Linked DNA regions of Tamandua tetradactyla. The protein of the gene in region 2 interacts with the protein of the main gene of each other region in a biochemical or structural test. Links are inferred from orthologs where the notes say so. Each region holds a gene or a part of one and is shown on either strand. Other genes may lie near its edges.

The links.
Region 1: the proteins of LRP2 (region 2) and DAB1 form a complex in vitro, tested with the Homo sapiens proteins (2 studies listed by BioGRID). The link is inferred for Tamandua tetradactyla from reciprocal best matches to the Homo sapiens genes LRP2 and DAB1.

Annotation. Positions count from the first base shown.
Region 1 is NC_135328.1:163,551,114-163,559,134, forward strand, and holds the start of DAB1 (disabled homolog 1), read left to right. Parts: upstream 1-4,769; 5' UTR 4,770-4,898; intron 4,899-8,021. UniProt on the Homo sapiens protein: Signaling adapter of the reelin-mediated signaling pathway, which regulates the migration and differentiation of postmitotic neurons during brain development.
Region 2 is NC_135329.1:140,837,585-140,845,185, forward strand, and holds the start of LRP2 (low-density lipoprotein receptor-related protein 2), read right to left. Parts: upstream 3,567-7,601; coding exon 3,314-3,566; intron 1-3,313. UniProt on the Homo sapiens protein: Multiligand endocytic receptor. Acts together with CUBN to mediate endocytosis of high-density lipoproteins. Mediates receptor-mediated uptake of polybasic drugs such as aprotinin, aminoglycosides and polymyxin B.

The sequences.
Region 1 (8,021 bases), on a different chromosome or scaffold from region 2:
GTGTTGTTTCCAGATGAAGCAGGAATGGGTACCACTGAGGCAAATGACAAATATCTACCAGAACTCTAAAATAATAGCCAAAAATTAAATGATAACTGTATCCCTTTCTATGCTGATTCTTCCCTGTTTCTATACTCCCTAAGTATCAGAAACTCAGCCATGTTTTTATAGCTTTGAGCCCACCTATTTCTCCAAGCACTAATATCACCTTAAGCTCCCCTTTATGAGTGAAAACATTGTGGGGGGGGGATGTAGTGGGACACAAGAGGCCTTTGACAATCATTTTAGCTTTCTACTTGTTTTCTATTGTGCTTTAAGCTAAAAAGAGCAGACTGGTGACATAAATACTGTTGCATTGTTGCTGCTCTCCTTGACCCCTCTTGGTGTGTGTGTAGCAGGGGTGGGGGTGGGGTGGGGTTAGAGGGTAGGGGGGGGTGGGACAAAGAATGCTATTTAAAGCTACTGTCAACCAGAGTCAGGTTTAATAATATTGCTATGCAACCTTTCCCTGGAATTAAGCAAGGCCAGTAACATAGGTATCATGAAAGAAGATAAATTCTTTTTTAATGAAGACACATAGAAATATTTTTTTTCATAGGATTTTTAATCTTAGAAGAAAAATAGGAATTGGATATTTTACTTGTGTCCAGTGCACACAAGCAAAGTATGCCAAATGTGATTACTTTAAGGTTTGCAAAATATTTATCTCCTTTTTTTTTCCTGTTTTTTTTTTTTAAAGTGATCCCTTTAATTTTCATGCTAAATTCCATTCTCCTGAATATGGCAAATAAGACCTTTTATAATTTGTTCTCGCTCCCTTATCTAGATTCAACTATGCCCTGCCTCCCACCCCCAGAGAAAATTCTCTATGCACTTACTCTTTTCTTTGCCTGGAATGCCTTCCCTGCCTCATCTGGTCACCCAGTTATCTTTCAAGATGGTAACACCTCTTTCACAAAGTCTTCTTAACTCTTTACCTGAGTTAGATGCCCATGTTTGATGCTCCCCGAGCACTCCGTACTTGTCAGTATTATAGCATTTATCACAATTTAATGTGATGATGAGTTTCCTTCCCCTAGCTATGAATTCTTTGAGGGCATTTTTTTTTTCTTTCTTTCTCTAACATTGTGCCTGACAAAGAATAAGCATTAAGTGAACATTTGTTGAATGAATAGAATTTTCTTCCCAAAATACAGAATCTGAGTGTGAATATGAATCTCAATGAAAGGGACAATGAGAGGCTTAGATAGATTTGGAATTAACCTTGGAATCTGTGTGTATGTAGTAGTATACTTTGAGCACCTAAGATCTTCCATGAGCCTGATAGGGATAATCCTACTGGACAGGTTTAACAGTTTTATTAATTTGAGAGCTTTATATGTATAGAAACTTTAGCATATTCTTGGTGTATGTAAGCACTACAAACTATTAAATAAATAGAGATTATGTAATAATTTGAAAACCCCAAAGCTTGCAACACAAATCAAGATATTATACTCTTTACAATGAGAAGCATATTTGGAACAATTATAGGAATAAACAGAATTGTAAATGCTATGTAATACACAGAATGGACTACTTTGCTTTCCCCTTTTCAGAGGAGTAGTTATTTGGCAGGATTTATGATTTTCAACATTTGGTTAACCATGGGTCAGTCTTAAACAGCACTTACATAGGCTGCCCTTTTGAGTATCTTGAGAATCCTGTTCATAGGAATCAATTATGTGAAGGTTCAATAATGTTCCTTCTCACCCATGTGCATGCTACCCATGTCCATGTCTTTTATTAAATTGACTCTGAGTTCCTTGAAGATGGGGTCTGTTTCTGATTTATCATCATTATCCCCAATGCCTAGCACAGTGCCCGAAAAGATGGCATATACTCCACAAATCCTCCTTAAATTAAAATGAACAATGTTGGAATTATTTTGGGAAGAAAATAGATGTTTATTGTGCAACTTATACAGTGCAAGACATGTCCAACATGCCATCTCATTTAAGGCTCACAGCAATTTCATGAAGCAGGTATTGTGTAGTTGAGAAGTTTGAAGTTCAGAGAGGTAAGTAACTTGCCAAAGATGACTGAGGCCCATCAAAATCCATACTCTACCCAGTACAGTACCCAATAAGAGTACTTCCTTCACTGGGCTGTCATGTAGGTTAAATGAGTTAATATATGAGAAGCACACAGAATGGGTCCTGAAATAGAATAAGTGATATATAAATGTTTGCTCTTGATCATCTGGTTAGTCTGCTGTTTCTCAGAGTAGATGATAAAGAAATATTTATCAATTATTTTTTCTTATCTTGCACTTAATACAAGTGACATCATTGCCAGAAACCTAAATAATAATAGAAAAATCACCCTAAATTTTAGATGAGTAGTCTGACATGTTTAGCATAATAGTTTAAGAATACTGCGTTAAGATTTGTTTTAAGTTTCATCCAGAAGACCACTAGGCCCTTGCTGGGCAGCTTGTATGCCATCAGAATCTATAGATTATGCTTTCTTCCGGTCTGGAGTGAGGAACAGCTGCAGTGTCTTGCCCTTTTGGATTGCATGGGAATGTGCCCAGTTTCCACAGTGGACCCAGTCCAATGCTGAATAGAGATTGAGTTTTAACTTTATCCTCTTTCCCTTTCTACTCCTCAGCCAACTTGGTGTCCTGCATTCCCTTCAAAGTCTGTAATCACAACATCAGTCCAACACAGGACCTGATGGAAGACAGGAGGAGACAATTCACATATGCAGGGCTAAATGCATGTGAATGTTTTTTTATGTTCCATGATTGCCCTCAAAGCATGGAGAAATTTCAGAGTGTTTCTTGGTAGAGTCAGTAAAAAGTTGTATAGATGGTCCATTAACCACAGCTTGACATTTGTCCCAGCTACCCCTCCCCCCATTTCAGTCATAGCTTCTCTGAATTGTCCATGTCTCCTAAGTTCTGTCTTTATAGACAAGGAAAAGCCTGGCCAGCCTGAACTTCATACTGAATGAAACTGAAGTGATAAGGTGTCAGCTCTTCCTACTCTCTAGAACGCTGGGAAGATTTGAGAGACTTGAGCCCATTTTCCTGGTCCCCCACTCTTTGCTGGCTACCCCCAGAAGTAAGTTGGAGCAGGGTAGGATCAGGGGTGAGGACCCTCTCTCCCCCACCACCTCCACACACCTTGTTGGGAGTTTCCTCTGATCAACTAACTATTCTCCTAAGATTGCACCCTGCCAGTGACCTCACACATTTTTCTTGTCTCTATGTAAATTGCTATCTTTTCAGGAGGTGCATGACAGCCTCCGATTGTACGGCCTCCATTTGTACAGAAGCTGTTATTACGGAATAAGTTTAATGGGTCGTGAATTTTGTGGAGAAAGGGAGGGTCTCGCGATGACTTCGTATGTACCAGTCATAGACCTATTGGCTCCATAAGGAGTGCATTAGGCTAAATATTTTTAGCCCATTGACTTTGGAGGTAATAACCCTAAATGCTTCATTAAATTTTCATGGGTGAGCTACAGAAGCTATGAGGAAAAACAAAAACCAAATCCACCACATTAGCTTTATTATTACACAGCTGGAGAAGAGGAGCATAGCCCCTAAAAAGGAATACAAATAAACTTTTTAAGGAACTACTGACTGCCCCTTCCTTTCCTCCTGGCGCCCTGCTCCAGCAAGGTAGCGCTTGGTTTGAGTCCCTACCCTTCCACCCCCCACCCCCCCACTCACCCCACAGCCCCCTGCATCTCGGCCTCTAGAGACAGGAATGGTGCAACAGGCATTTAATGGTGTTGAAGAATTTACTGGAGCTGAAGAATTTTCAGAATATATTTTCTGCAATTTGGCGTTCTTAAGATCTCCGTAAAATATGGCCCAAAGCAGGGAGCGACTGAAGTGTATACGCTGGAGCATTCTCCCGCGCAGGTTGAATTCAGCGATCTAATCTACGGATTGTGTACTCCCAGGCATTCTAAGAACCGGAGCTAGGGTGAATTGGGGCATATTCTCGGGGGTGTTGACTCCTCCCAGGACCGATGAAAACCAGACAGACGCACATCTTTTTTAGCCCAAGTTTGCCTCGGGAGTTTCAGTAACAACAGCAAGAGCCGAGAGCCAGGGTAGGCGGCTGAGAACCAGCGCCCCCTCCTGCAGAGGGGCATGGGGGCAACACAACCCCGTGAGACTTCCCTGATTTTTTTTTTCTCGCCCACTGGCACTTTTTATATATTGGTATGTGTGTGTTTTGAGGCTTGGATAAAAGAGAAAAATGAGGGAGGGTCGGGCGGGGGCTGCTGGTGGTGGCGGTGATGCTGGCGAAACGACGGATACTTTTGGGAACCCGGAGTCTGGTTGCTTTTAGCCCTCCTCCTTCTCCCAATCCTGTCTTCGTCGGCGCAGCTGGGGCGGGGACCCGGTGCTCTCTGATCCACTCACCCCCTTCCACGCCGGGATGGGAAGTGAACGCAGGGGCTCCAGAGACGCGACTGCGAGCCGCGGCGCCCCCGCTCGCTCGCTTTTCCTCCTGGCTGTTGCCACCGCGACTCGCCTAAGCTCTCCGAGCGCGCTCGGGCGGCGCACAGAGCGCCCCAGCGGGAGCCCGAGCCCTAAGGCTGAGGCACGCGGCGCGCCGCGGGACCAAGGAGGTGAGCGAGGCCGCTGGGCGCCGGGCGGGCGCGGGGGGCCTCGGGGCGGGGGCCGGAGGAGGAGGCGGGTCTGCGCGTGGGGCGGTCTCCTCCCCCTGCTCTGACGCCAGGCCCGTGGCTCCCGGGGAGGATGGACCCTGCACCGCGCTCGCCGGGGCTTCCCCGGACTGGAGAGAGCGCCTGAGTCCCGTCGCCCAACCGGCATGGGGAGCCGCTTCCTGGGCGGCTGCGGCAGCGGAGGAGGATGTTGTCGGCGAGCCGAGGTGAGGCGCGGCGAGGGCACGCGGCAGCCCTAGAGTTCAACCCGGACAGGTGCCGGGCGGAGACACAGCGCCCGGACACCTGGCGTGTCTCCGCTGGGGACCCCGGGGCTCCCCTCTCGGGAGTTTGGCAGAGGGCGCTGCGTGGGTATGGCGACTGCAGCAGTTTACCGCTCGCTCCCTCCACTTGCTGGAGTGGGGGAGAGGGGCGACCTCTGCTCCTTCCTCCCGTCCTCTCTCCTCCCGCAATCTCCGTACTTCTGGCCACGCGCGATCCTCTTTCTAGACTTGCTCACTCAGAATTGCTGGGCTGTCTCCGGATCCGCAGCATCCTCCCTCTTGGGGTCCCAGCTCTGTCCATCTACGAGCTTTCCTTCTCCCACCCCAGAACCTCATCTGTGGTCCCGGACCCTGCTCCTCTCTCACGAGCAGCGCACCCAGTCCCGGACGAATCGTATTCTCACTTGCCTGCTACCTGGCAGCGCTGCGGTTCTGCCTGGACCTGTCGGAAAACCGGATCTGTCCTAGTAACCGCCAACCCTTCCATGTAAATATCAGGGCTGGACCCCACGTCTCTTTGGGCCCCAGCCTTCCCTGGGTCCTCCGTCGGCTCAGATCTCTCCGGCTCCTCGGTCCCTCCTTCCTTCCCATTTTTACTTCTCGGGCTCCACGCCATCCCGATACCTCTCCTCTCTAACCCTCCCCTGTCTGCTTCAGACTCGATCGGCCTCGGATGCAGAACTCCGATTTTTGTTTTTTGTTTTTCCTCCTATTGGGGAAACTTTAAATAAATGCCCGTGGTTCGGCGCATAAAGGAGCCATGAAAAGGGGTTCCTAACCTCTGAGAGAACCGGTAGTCAGAGAGTGAGAAATGGGGGGGGAGGGGGGGGGAGGTTGTGTCGCGACGTCTGAAAGGGCCCGGGCGGGTGTAGGAAGTAGTACATTTTTAAAACGGGGGTGTTTGCTGCAGCCAGGACCCTCCTCCCCCACTCGCTCCGTCCCGCCAAGTGTTATTGTGACCCCTGCTGGGAGGGCGCGTCTTTTCTCTGCACTTCCTAAGGCGCGTGGTTTTTCTTTTTCTTTCCTTTTTTTTTTTTTTTGTTTTTTTTTTTTTGGTGCTGGTGGTCAGAACCCGACTGAGGTCTGGGAGAGGGTGGGCACTGACTGCCTCGCGAGACCGATGGCACTTGGCTCCTGCGCAGCTCCTCCCGGCCCGGCCAGACTGTGTACGTTTCACTCCGTAGAAACCACCCCCCAACTGCATCACACAAGTCCTCATTGTTGGGGGTCTGCTGCCTTGGCACTTCCGCCTTGGCGGGGAGAATCTGAAGGAATGGAATGGGGGTGGGGAGGCCGGGGGCGCCGGGCGTCCGTGGCCTGGCTGTTGCCCGAGGGTCCGCAGCCCGCGGAGTGGCGGGTGCCGCCGCGCGAGTGTGTGGCGGTGAGGGTGGGGTGCGTGGGTCGGTGCCTGCGCGTGCGTTTGGATGTCGGTGCACGGCCGTGTTTTAGCGCGATCAGAAAGAGGGGCGAGTCGAGAGCTCGCTGAAGCGAGAGCGCCTTTCAGTGCCCCGGAGCTGGGCGGGCGGGTACCAACTCTGAGATGGATGCTACAATGCAGTTCCTAGCGTACCGGCGGGGAACCGAGCGAGAATCTGCTCTGCTGCTTCTCCACCCACTACCCCCCTCCTGCTCCCCTCCTGCTGGCCCATTAGATGCACTTTCACAATGTTGATGGTTTTGGATAAAGGCCTTGTAGGGGTTCAGCTGACACTTCATAACACTTAACATGTTTTCAAGTAATCATATAAATTAAAGGTAGCTTATGTTCAGAACCCCCTAATTATCCAGTTCGCGTTTGTACATTTATGTGCCAATTATAGGTATTCGGGGGAAATCCATAAAATTATAAACCATCTCCACCCCCTGAATTAGCACCCATTGTTTATTATTATTGTTTTTTTTTAAATCAATCTCAGCGGTGAGTGATTTGGGATGGAACCCCGAGTTTCAGTCAAGAAGATGCAAGGGACGGGGGAGGGAGAGTTTGGAATAGGAACAGTCCCCCCCCCCCCCCCATCTCTTTCACTCCCTATCTTGACAGGGCTTGGTGACAATTCTGGAAACTGAAAGGGATCAAAGATTTTCTTGATTTCCTATTGAGAAGGGCGACCTAATCAAAGCTGTATAAAAGTCAACTTCTGAGCAATCAGAAATTGTCTGCTGATGTCCTTGATTGAAACCCCAGCATTCAAATGGAGTATTGAAGAACTCCCAGAAATGGCTTTTGAAGAGCTATTGTTCTTTTCCACACACACAGACTCTTTTAAAGGTTGTAGGAAGTTTAAAATGTAGTGGTTTGAAAAGACAGACATTGTAACTATTTGGCAAGAATGGTTAGGATCTGCAGGGATGAGAGAAGAGGCCCAGGTGGGAAGAGTAAACTTGTTACTATCTTCTTGGGAACAGTGACACTATCGAGTGGAATTTCAGTTCTACACATGGAATTGGCAATTAAATGTCTTCGTAAAGCAGATTTAGAAGATGATTTTTACTAGCTTTTTATTTTTTTTGGTGGTTTGCTTAAGGTCTGAATAGGCATATCTGAAACATTTAATCATGTTCATTGTATTCAACAATAAAATCTGAATAAAAATTACTTATTGTTGATGAAGCTCATCTTGCAAGCTGTTGCACAGTATGTCTCCGTTGCAAGACACAGGATTGTGTGAGGCTGCCGGAAAGAGATTCTATCACTTATTGTTCATTTTCTCCTCCCAAAGCCAGAGAGGAACATGCTTCTTCACTCCTCTTTGCCGTCCAAAGTAATTTTTCTTAAATGAGTGGGTGTTTGGCTTGGTACCTGATAGTACCCATCTTATAAATTGCATTTGGTGAATTTCTGATGCCCAAAGCCACCCTGCAGGCAGATGAAGAAACTAATTGAGGCAGCATTTCATTTTGATGATTCACTCAAGTCAAATATTTTGTTTTTGGTGGAATTTTAATCTTTCTCTCGAACTAACAAAGCTGACAAAGCAAGAAAATCAACTTATGTCTTTTAGATGGGCACTTTAAAAAGTGACATAAATTAAAGGGGTGTTGTCATGAACTTTCAATCTGTTATTT
Region 2 (7,601 bases):
ATGGGAATAAGGAGGCTTGGGTCTTAGCTCTGTCATGCACCATCTGCTTTTAGACAAGACACTTAGACCCTTCTCCCTCCCTCCACCCCCCTTTCTGTTTGTTATCTTATCTGTAAAATAATGCAAGTGGGCCAGTTGATAATGAAGGTTTCCTCTAGTTGATAACTAAGGTCAAGAAATTGCTTTAAATAACTATTAAACAGGACAGGCACATGGTAGAATGGAGTTAAGGCAGAAGCCCTATGGACTGGCAAGGAAGAACTTCAAGCAAAGAAAGGGAAGCCATCTACTCTGTGATGGATCCAAAAGTTGTAATTTTGTTGTTATTGGCCCTGCAGCCCTTTTTTAGATATATAAAAGTCACCCAAAGATGTAGCAATCATAAAATACTTATACTAAATAGGACACACCCAAACTTTTATTAAAGAAAATAACTTTAACGTCATTACTATTTTCAAAAATCAAATATCCTGGGATACATGGAAATCTCAAAGAAATGTTAGTAAAAAGTGCTTAAACATTCCTATGTACTTTTGAAAACCGGAAGTATGAATAGAAGGTAAAAGTTTTAGTACAATAAAAATAGCTATTAATCATTGTCTACCTTATGCCTTTCTAAGCACTTTGTATCTTGTTCTGTGCTCATAAAATGTCATGGTATAGGCATTCCAATTTGCAGATACTTCACTTTGTGTAAGTGAAGTGACTTCCTTAAGGTCATACAGAAAGTGGTGGAGCCATTATCAAATCCAGACAGCTTGACTCCAGAGCCCAAGATCACCCAAATTATTTTCTTAAAAAACTGTATGTGAAGTATGAAAAAAGTGCAAATACACTACAGATGTGGTATAATTAAAAAAAAAAAAAAAAAACCTGCCAAAGATATTTGCAGTTCTTTTCCAATTTCTAATGATTCCGAGTTTGCAGTAGGGTTCCTTCCTAAAATATGGAGATATAAGGGCATCTACAATGCCATCACACTTTACGTCATCTGATAAATCAGGATCAGTACAAGAATCCAGGAATTCCCTCACCCTTCTAACTGAGGATATTTAGAGTAGCTGTATCTAAAAATAGTTAAAGTAGAAAAGACTGGGAATGTGGAGATTTGGGAAAACTGTAAACAGTTTCTCTAAAAATATCCATATTTAATGAGGCAGGTGAATTTTACCTTGGTAAAGACTTGCAAAATGCCCCCCAGTTACTTTAGAACTTCTCATGTAGATACTGGGAGAATGACATTTTTAATTCAAAAGAAAAATAGAGAAAGCTAATACTGTGGTGCAGCAGTTAAATCGTGGACTCTGGAGTCAGAATTCTTTGGGTTTGCCTCACAGCTCAGCCATTTCCTAGCAGTATGACCTTAAGAAAGAAAGTTCTATGCCCCAGTTTTCTCATCTGTGAAACAGGGATAATAAATAAGAGTACCTACTTCCAGGGTTATTATAGAAATTAACTGAGTCAGTGACTGTAAAGTACTTAGAATAGAGCCTGGCACATGTAAGTATGCGATATATTGCTATTGCTATATAGATCATCATTATATATTTTTACTAGAGAATGATAGATGTAAACTATCAAGCATAAGTACACATTATTTAATGACTAGGTCAACCCAGTGGAGAGTTCTGGATTTTGATTGTCCCAAGGCATTACCAAAGGAATCTAGTCAAGATTTCCTTTTGCTGGGCGTTGACAGAACATACTGTAAATCCTATGACTATATTTAGGACATAAGCTACATATAACCCAAAGCACTGTTCCATCTCAGAAGAAATTTTCCAGATAATGAGCATATTTTTCTTGTGTTTACAAGACTTTTACAAGTGTTACCAAGTGTTCTTGGTTAAAGATTTTTGAAAGACCAATGAGGTCTATTGGCGTTTCCAAACTTACTTCTTCCCAGTTAAGTTCGAAATGGGTACTGTTAGGAGTTGCTGTATAATTACTTACTTGATTCCCTCTAAGGAGCTTATGCCAAGAATTGAGGGGGAAAAAGCAGATTAACTCTTTGAATACAAGCCACGGCCCATCCACAAGCCCTCCCCTCCCCCCCCCCATAAGTGGGGGCTTCCACGTCCTCACCAGTCAACCCCAATACGTGATCCAAGGAAATCAATTTATTGCTTTGGTTAATCCTACAACAATAGGAGTCTCATTTTCATTGTAGGGCAATTAAGTTGTCCGAAGAGAAGGAGGGAAAAGCGGGGACTCTCCCATCCCCACCCCACTCTGTCTGTCTGATGGTGGGTCACACGCAGCTCCCGGCTGCTACCTAGCAACGCAAAGCCAGAGAGAGAGCTCGCGGGTTCCCCCGCCTCCTCCTCGCCCTTCGCCCTTCCCATTCATCCCCGGTCGGTCTGTCTCGCGCGCGCGCCCGCTTGCTTGCTCGCTCGCTAGCTCTCGCTCTCTCTTTCTCTCTCCAACGTTCTTTTCAAACTCGCTCTCGCACCTTCTCTCCCTTTTCCTCTCTAGTTTCTTCCCCTCTTACTATTTTTATTCTCTCTTTCTCCTTCTCTTTCCCTCTCCTGTTTCTCAAAAAAAGTAAACTCTCCGACAATCTGAAGTTTAAAGCACGTCAGACCAGAAAATTTGTGCCTTCTAGCTCCCAAAACTGGTCGCGCAGACAAGCTCCATTCATCAACACGAAAAAATCCACCTCCCGGGTTGGAAATGAAAACCCTTCAAGAAAATACTCTTGTGTATCAGCTCTCTCTCGGCCAATCACACATCTCGGCCTTATCTCGGCTCGTAAACGATCTGTATCATGAGATGCAGTCTCTTGGGGGTCACCGCGGGACCGAGTTCCACCGGTGACTGGGGCGAGGGGAGGGGATACTTCAGACCAAAGCCCTGGGCGGGCAAAGGGATCCTCCCCGGCCCGCGTTTTCCACCTGCACAGGGAGAGGTCCGCTCAGCCACGGCGAGGATAAATCCGCGGCGGGTTAGCAGGCTGAGGATCCGCGGCGGAGAACCTCATTCTGCTGGGTTCCAACGGCAAAGTAGTTTCCGAAAGAATCGGGAATATTCCCGGTGGGAACAGTGATGGGTTACCCGTGGGGTACGTTTTCTCAAGTTTGCGGCTGCACAGTTCTCAGCTGGGCGAAGGAGGGGCGCTCCGCCTCTTGCGGCTGGAGGGGCAACCTGAGCGCCCCAGTGGGAGCCGCTGCGGCGCCGCCGCCCGCTGGGGCCCCTGCCCGGGCGCGCTCCCCTCCGCCCACCCGCTGTCGGGGACGTCCTCCAGCGGACTCTACCCTGCCACGGCCCACGAAGCCCAATGCTTAACGCGGGGTTCTGACTGACCGGCGCTTACCTTCGCCTCTTGCCGGCGCCAAGCAGGTTGCGAGCGCCAGCAGCAGCGTGCCCGCCACCGCCGCCGCCCGGCGCTCCATCCCCGCGACGGTCCCCGCGCGCTGCCGCCGCGGTCTGTACCTCGCCGTTCCTTCCCCGCGAGGTGGGCGCGCGACGTACTCAGTTAGGTCTGCGCCTCCGCTCGCGTGTGCTCCTTTAGTAGAGCACCTCGGCCGGTTCCAGGTGACGAAAAGCCGGCCGGGCTCTCCAGGCATCAGGTTTTCTACCCGCGCCAATCCCCACCCTCCCGACAGTGCCGAAAGCCCTTTAGGCAGGGCCGCCCCGGAACTAGCATGAGGGAATCTGGCGGGGCAGGCCGCCTGCCGCCCATCCCGCCCCCTGCACTTTGCAGCGCCGGGAGGAGTGGGGACTCAAGCACACGTGCGCTTACACATGCACACTCCACACAGTCACACACACACACTCACGCCCACATTCATGTGCTGATAGACTCACACTCGCATTCACAGTTGCACATTTCTCACTGTCACACTCACAAACATGCAGTTCTCACAGTTATACGCGGGACACGCACTCCATTCATACTCAAACACTGACAGTGACTCACATGTGCATACATACTCCTCAGTCACACAAATGGCACACTCGCACTCGGGCACGCTCTGTCTTCCCCTCTCTGCAGGATTTGCCCTAGCACCAAAGCCAGCTGTACAGCGTAGGATAATCTCTCCCGAACATAGTTTTAAAGACTAAACAGTAATGGAGAGAGAAAAAAAAAAGAAAGTCAAAAGTAGGGGAAAAAAGAAAAAAGGAAGAGATGAAGAAGGAAAAAAAATCAGGAAAAGTAAGAGAAGGTGGAAAGAAAGGGAAGGGAAAGAGGAAGAAGGAAAAAGGGAAGTGAAGAAAGTAAAAGAGTTTGTTGGAGAGATTTGTCACCTTCCTTCCTGGTTTGAAATCTCTGAGCTCCCTCTGATACCCGGATTTCCCCTGATAAATTTGAGGCTGCTGAGATGGTGTCCTGTGTTTTCAAAATTTGGGAATGGGCAATTAATTCTTAAATTGTATAGAGTTTCTGTTTGGGTTGATCGTAAAGTTTTGGAAATGGACTGTGGTGATGGTAGCACAAGTTTATGAATAATATATTCATAACTCATTAATTATATATTTGAATCTGGTTAAAAGGGGAAATGTTAAGTCGTATATATATATATGCTACCAGAATAAAAATTTTTAGGAAACAAAATGTAACACTGTACAACATAATGAACCCTTTTGAAACACTTAACTATATAGTTAATAGTATAATTATTAAAAAATATGCTTTCATGAATTAACAAATATACCATACTAATGCAAGGTATTAATAATTGGGTGGTAGATAGAAACTCATTACTTTTCTGTAAACCTACAACTTCTCTAATAAAAAAGAAAAGTTGGGGAAGGGGTCGAATCCTTGTTTGGCTTTTAAGCACCACATGTATAGGTATCACGGCTGGGTTGTGCGTCTACATTTGCAGTGCAATTCATTTTGAAGCAAAATTGAAAAGAATGAACATTATCTCCGTGTGCTGGTGTCCCTTTACGTGAGGGAGAAACACAAGGGAGTTCAAAGCGTCGCCGGTCCGGCCCCCGAGAACATTACGAGTGAGCCTTACACTCGCCCCCAGAGCACCGTCCTTCGCCAGTACGTGACACCAGAGCGAAAAGATGGACGGTTGGTGCAACCTACACCCCGGCCGTGGGAGCTCTCTGTGAGGAGGGGGTGCTTCCGGATCTGGGGTCCTCCCAGAGCCTCCCGCCGGAGTCCCTGAACCGCGAACCGGCTCGGCAGCGGGGCCTGAACGCCGATTCCTGGTGCTAAAGGGCAGACGTCTTCCCATAGCCAGAGGGGCGGTAGAGGCGCAGCTCTGGCTCCACGTGGTCCGCCTCGCCCTCCCCAAGAGCGAGGACCTGCTGGGAACCACCTGCCCCCTCCTCCCAGAGCACCGATTGTCTGGGGCTCTGCTGACCCCAACAGTCTGAAGCTCGCAGCGTCCGTGGGCTTTCAAGAGTTTATACAACTTGGGTGGGGGGTGGAGGGGAGCGGGAATGAAGGTACTGTTACTTTTGAAAGACCGAGAGAGAAGATTTAGACCAAAACTAAAAAAATGTAGGATTATGAAAAAGCGGGAGGGCTTTCCTGGTTAGATTTGGAACTTCAGAGTTCTCTGTTCTGGTCAAAGCGCCTCCCTTCACAGCGTCTGGCGCGGTGCGGTGCTGAGGAGGAGGCAGGATTGGGGACCCGAGGAGCAGAGGGCTGGAAAGCGGGGGGGATGACCCGGGTAGGGAGGAGGGAAGCGGTGAGGGGCGAGATGCTGCACTTCAGTCTCTGTGGGTGATTTATGCCGGTTCCGGGCTGACGGGGCGTTGGTACTAGACCGCGCCAGGGTCAGGCGGCTCCGACTCCCGCCGGGGCAGCGCTGCATAGTCAATGAGCGTCTCTGCACCTCCCAGTTACAAAGAGCTGCTGCTGGCTCTAGGGAGGCGTGCGCAGATGAGCGGGCGACCAGAGCGAGGACCCTAGGTGCGGGGTGGGGGGAGAGGGGGAGCCGGGGGGCAGGTCTCCCTCGCACGCCGAGAGTGGGCGCGCAGGAGCGAGCGCCAGCCTGTGCAGGCGCGCGCGTGCTTGTGTGTGTAGCAGCCAGGGCTCCAAACATTCCTTTCTGCACTGAAGGGTTTTCCCAATTGTTGTTGTCTTTGTGCTCCAGTGTTGCCAATTTACTGAAATTCCTAACGTGGTTGCACAGCAGGGCTCGAGCTGACAGAACCAGCCAGCTGCGCTTGTGTATGGGGCCTATCTTCTGGTTAATCCCAGAATAACCGAAGGGAGGGAAGAGCGGGCAGGAGGGAGGGAAACAGAAAAAGGGTGTGCATGGGGGACCACTAACTAAGTAAGGGTCATCATTCCCAACAGTGTGATGTTAACTCACACGTTCAGATTCTTTGCCACAAGAAAATTCCATTCTCTCAACGCAAATCCCAATCTCGTGGCATTTAGAAACAGGCAGCTTGTGTAGCTTGTGTCAAACACGTGTTTATTTATGGTGTTTATACTTAAAAATGCTCGTTGCTAGATTTGAAAAATTAAACTTGTGAACCAGCAACCGGCAAGACACAGGCTAATTCCTTATACAATTGTGATTAAACCAGCATCGTGATTTCTTTAGATTTCACTAAGGTGAAATCTAAATATATATATTATATATATATATATATGAATGGTATTAACAGCACAATTAACTAAAAGAGTCACAGAGGAAAATGCTAAAAAGTGAAGTTTATTCCAGTAAATTTATGTCAATTTGCTTCCTATGTTTTTGGCTTGTGTCTATTACCTTGCATGTTCACCTTGGCATCCATTATTGGAAATATTTTCAGAATATTTATTCCAATCATGAACCAACTTCTGCTTCCTGCCTGAAGTGGGCATGAAGTTGTATAATTATAGTGGGTAAAGTCCAACTTCAGTTTGCTATTTGACCAACCCAGTTTGCTTCCTGAGAGCCAAAGAATCAACAGTCCACTGGACAACTCCAATCTGTTATTCCCAAGACCTGGAACTCAACACAATGGAGCCTGAACATACGAACTTCCAGTGTTCTCTATCTCTGTAAGGACCAGCATGCAACCCATTGTTTTTCTTGACTCCACCCTCTTTCCCCCACCACAACCATGTACACTCAGTCATTAACTCTGTTAATTCAAATTCTTCAGTCCACTCACTTCTCTTGCCAGTAGCTACTAGTTTTTCTCATCTGAATTATGGCAAGATCTTTATAATGGGCTCCTTGCTGTCGCTTTTGCTCCTTCCCATCTCTTTTTCTTTTAGGAGCCATAATGATTCAAAGAAATAGTTTCACCAGACTAGTGATTTCAAATAAAGGTCATTACCTATTAAAGAGTTATGCAATTAATTTAGTAGGTCAAGACCCGAATTGTTTTTTAATGACATACAACCAAGTAGAAACTAAAATAACTTTCATGGGGAAAGAATATGTATTGTTTCATATTTACTGTGTAACCATGTAAAATATATTTCTTATATATTCCTGTCAAAAAAAAAAAACCTGAAATATCTCTCCACAAATTACTTATTTATTAATTAAAAAAGGAAAAATAGTAACTTCAAGTGAAGAAAACCAGCAGACACCACAGTGACCAAGTAACCGAATTCAATATAAGAAAGTTAACATGGAACAAACTGGCATCATGTGCCTTCTGATATGTGGCGCTGTGAAGGAAGCAGAAAT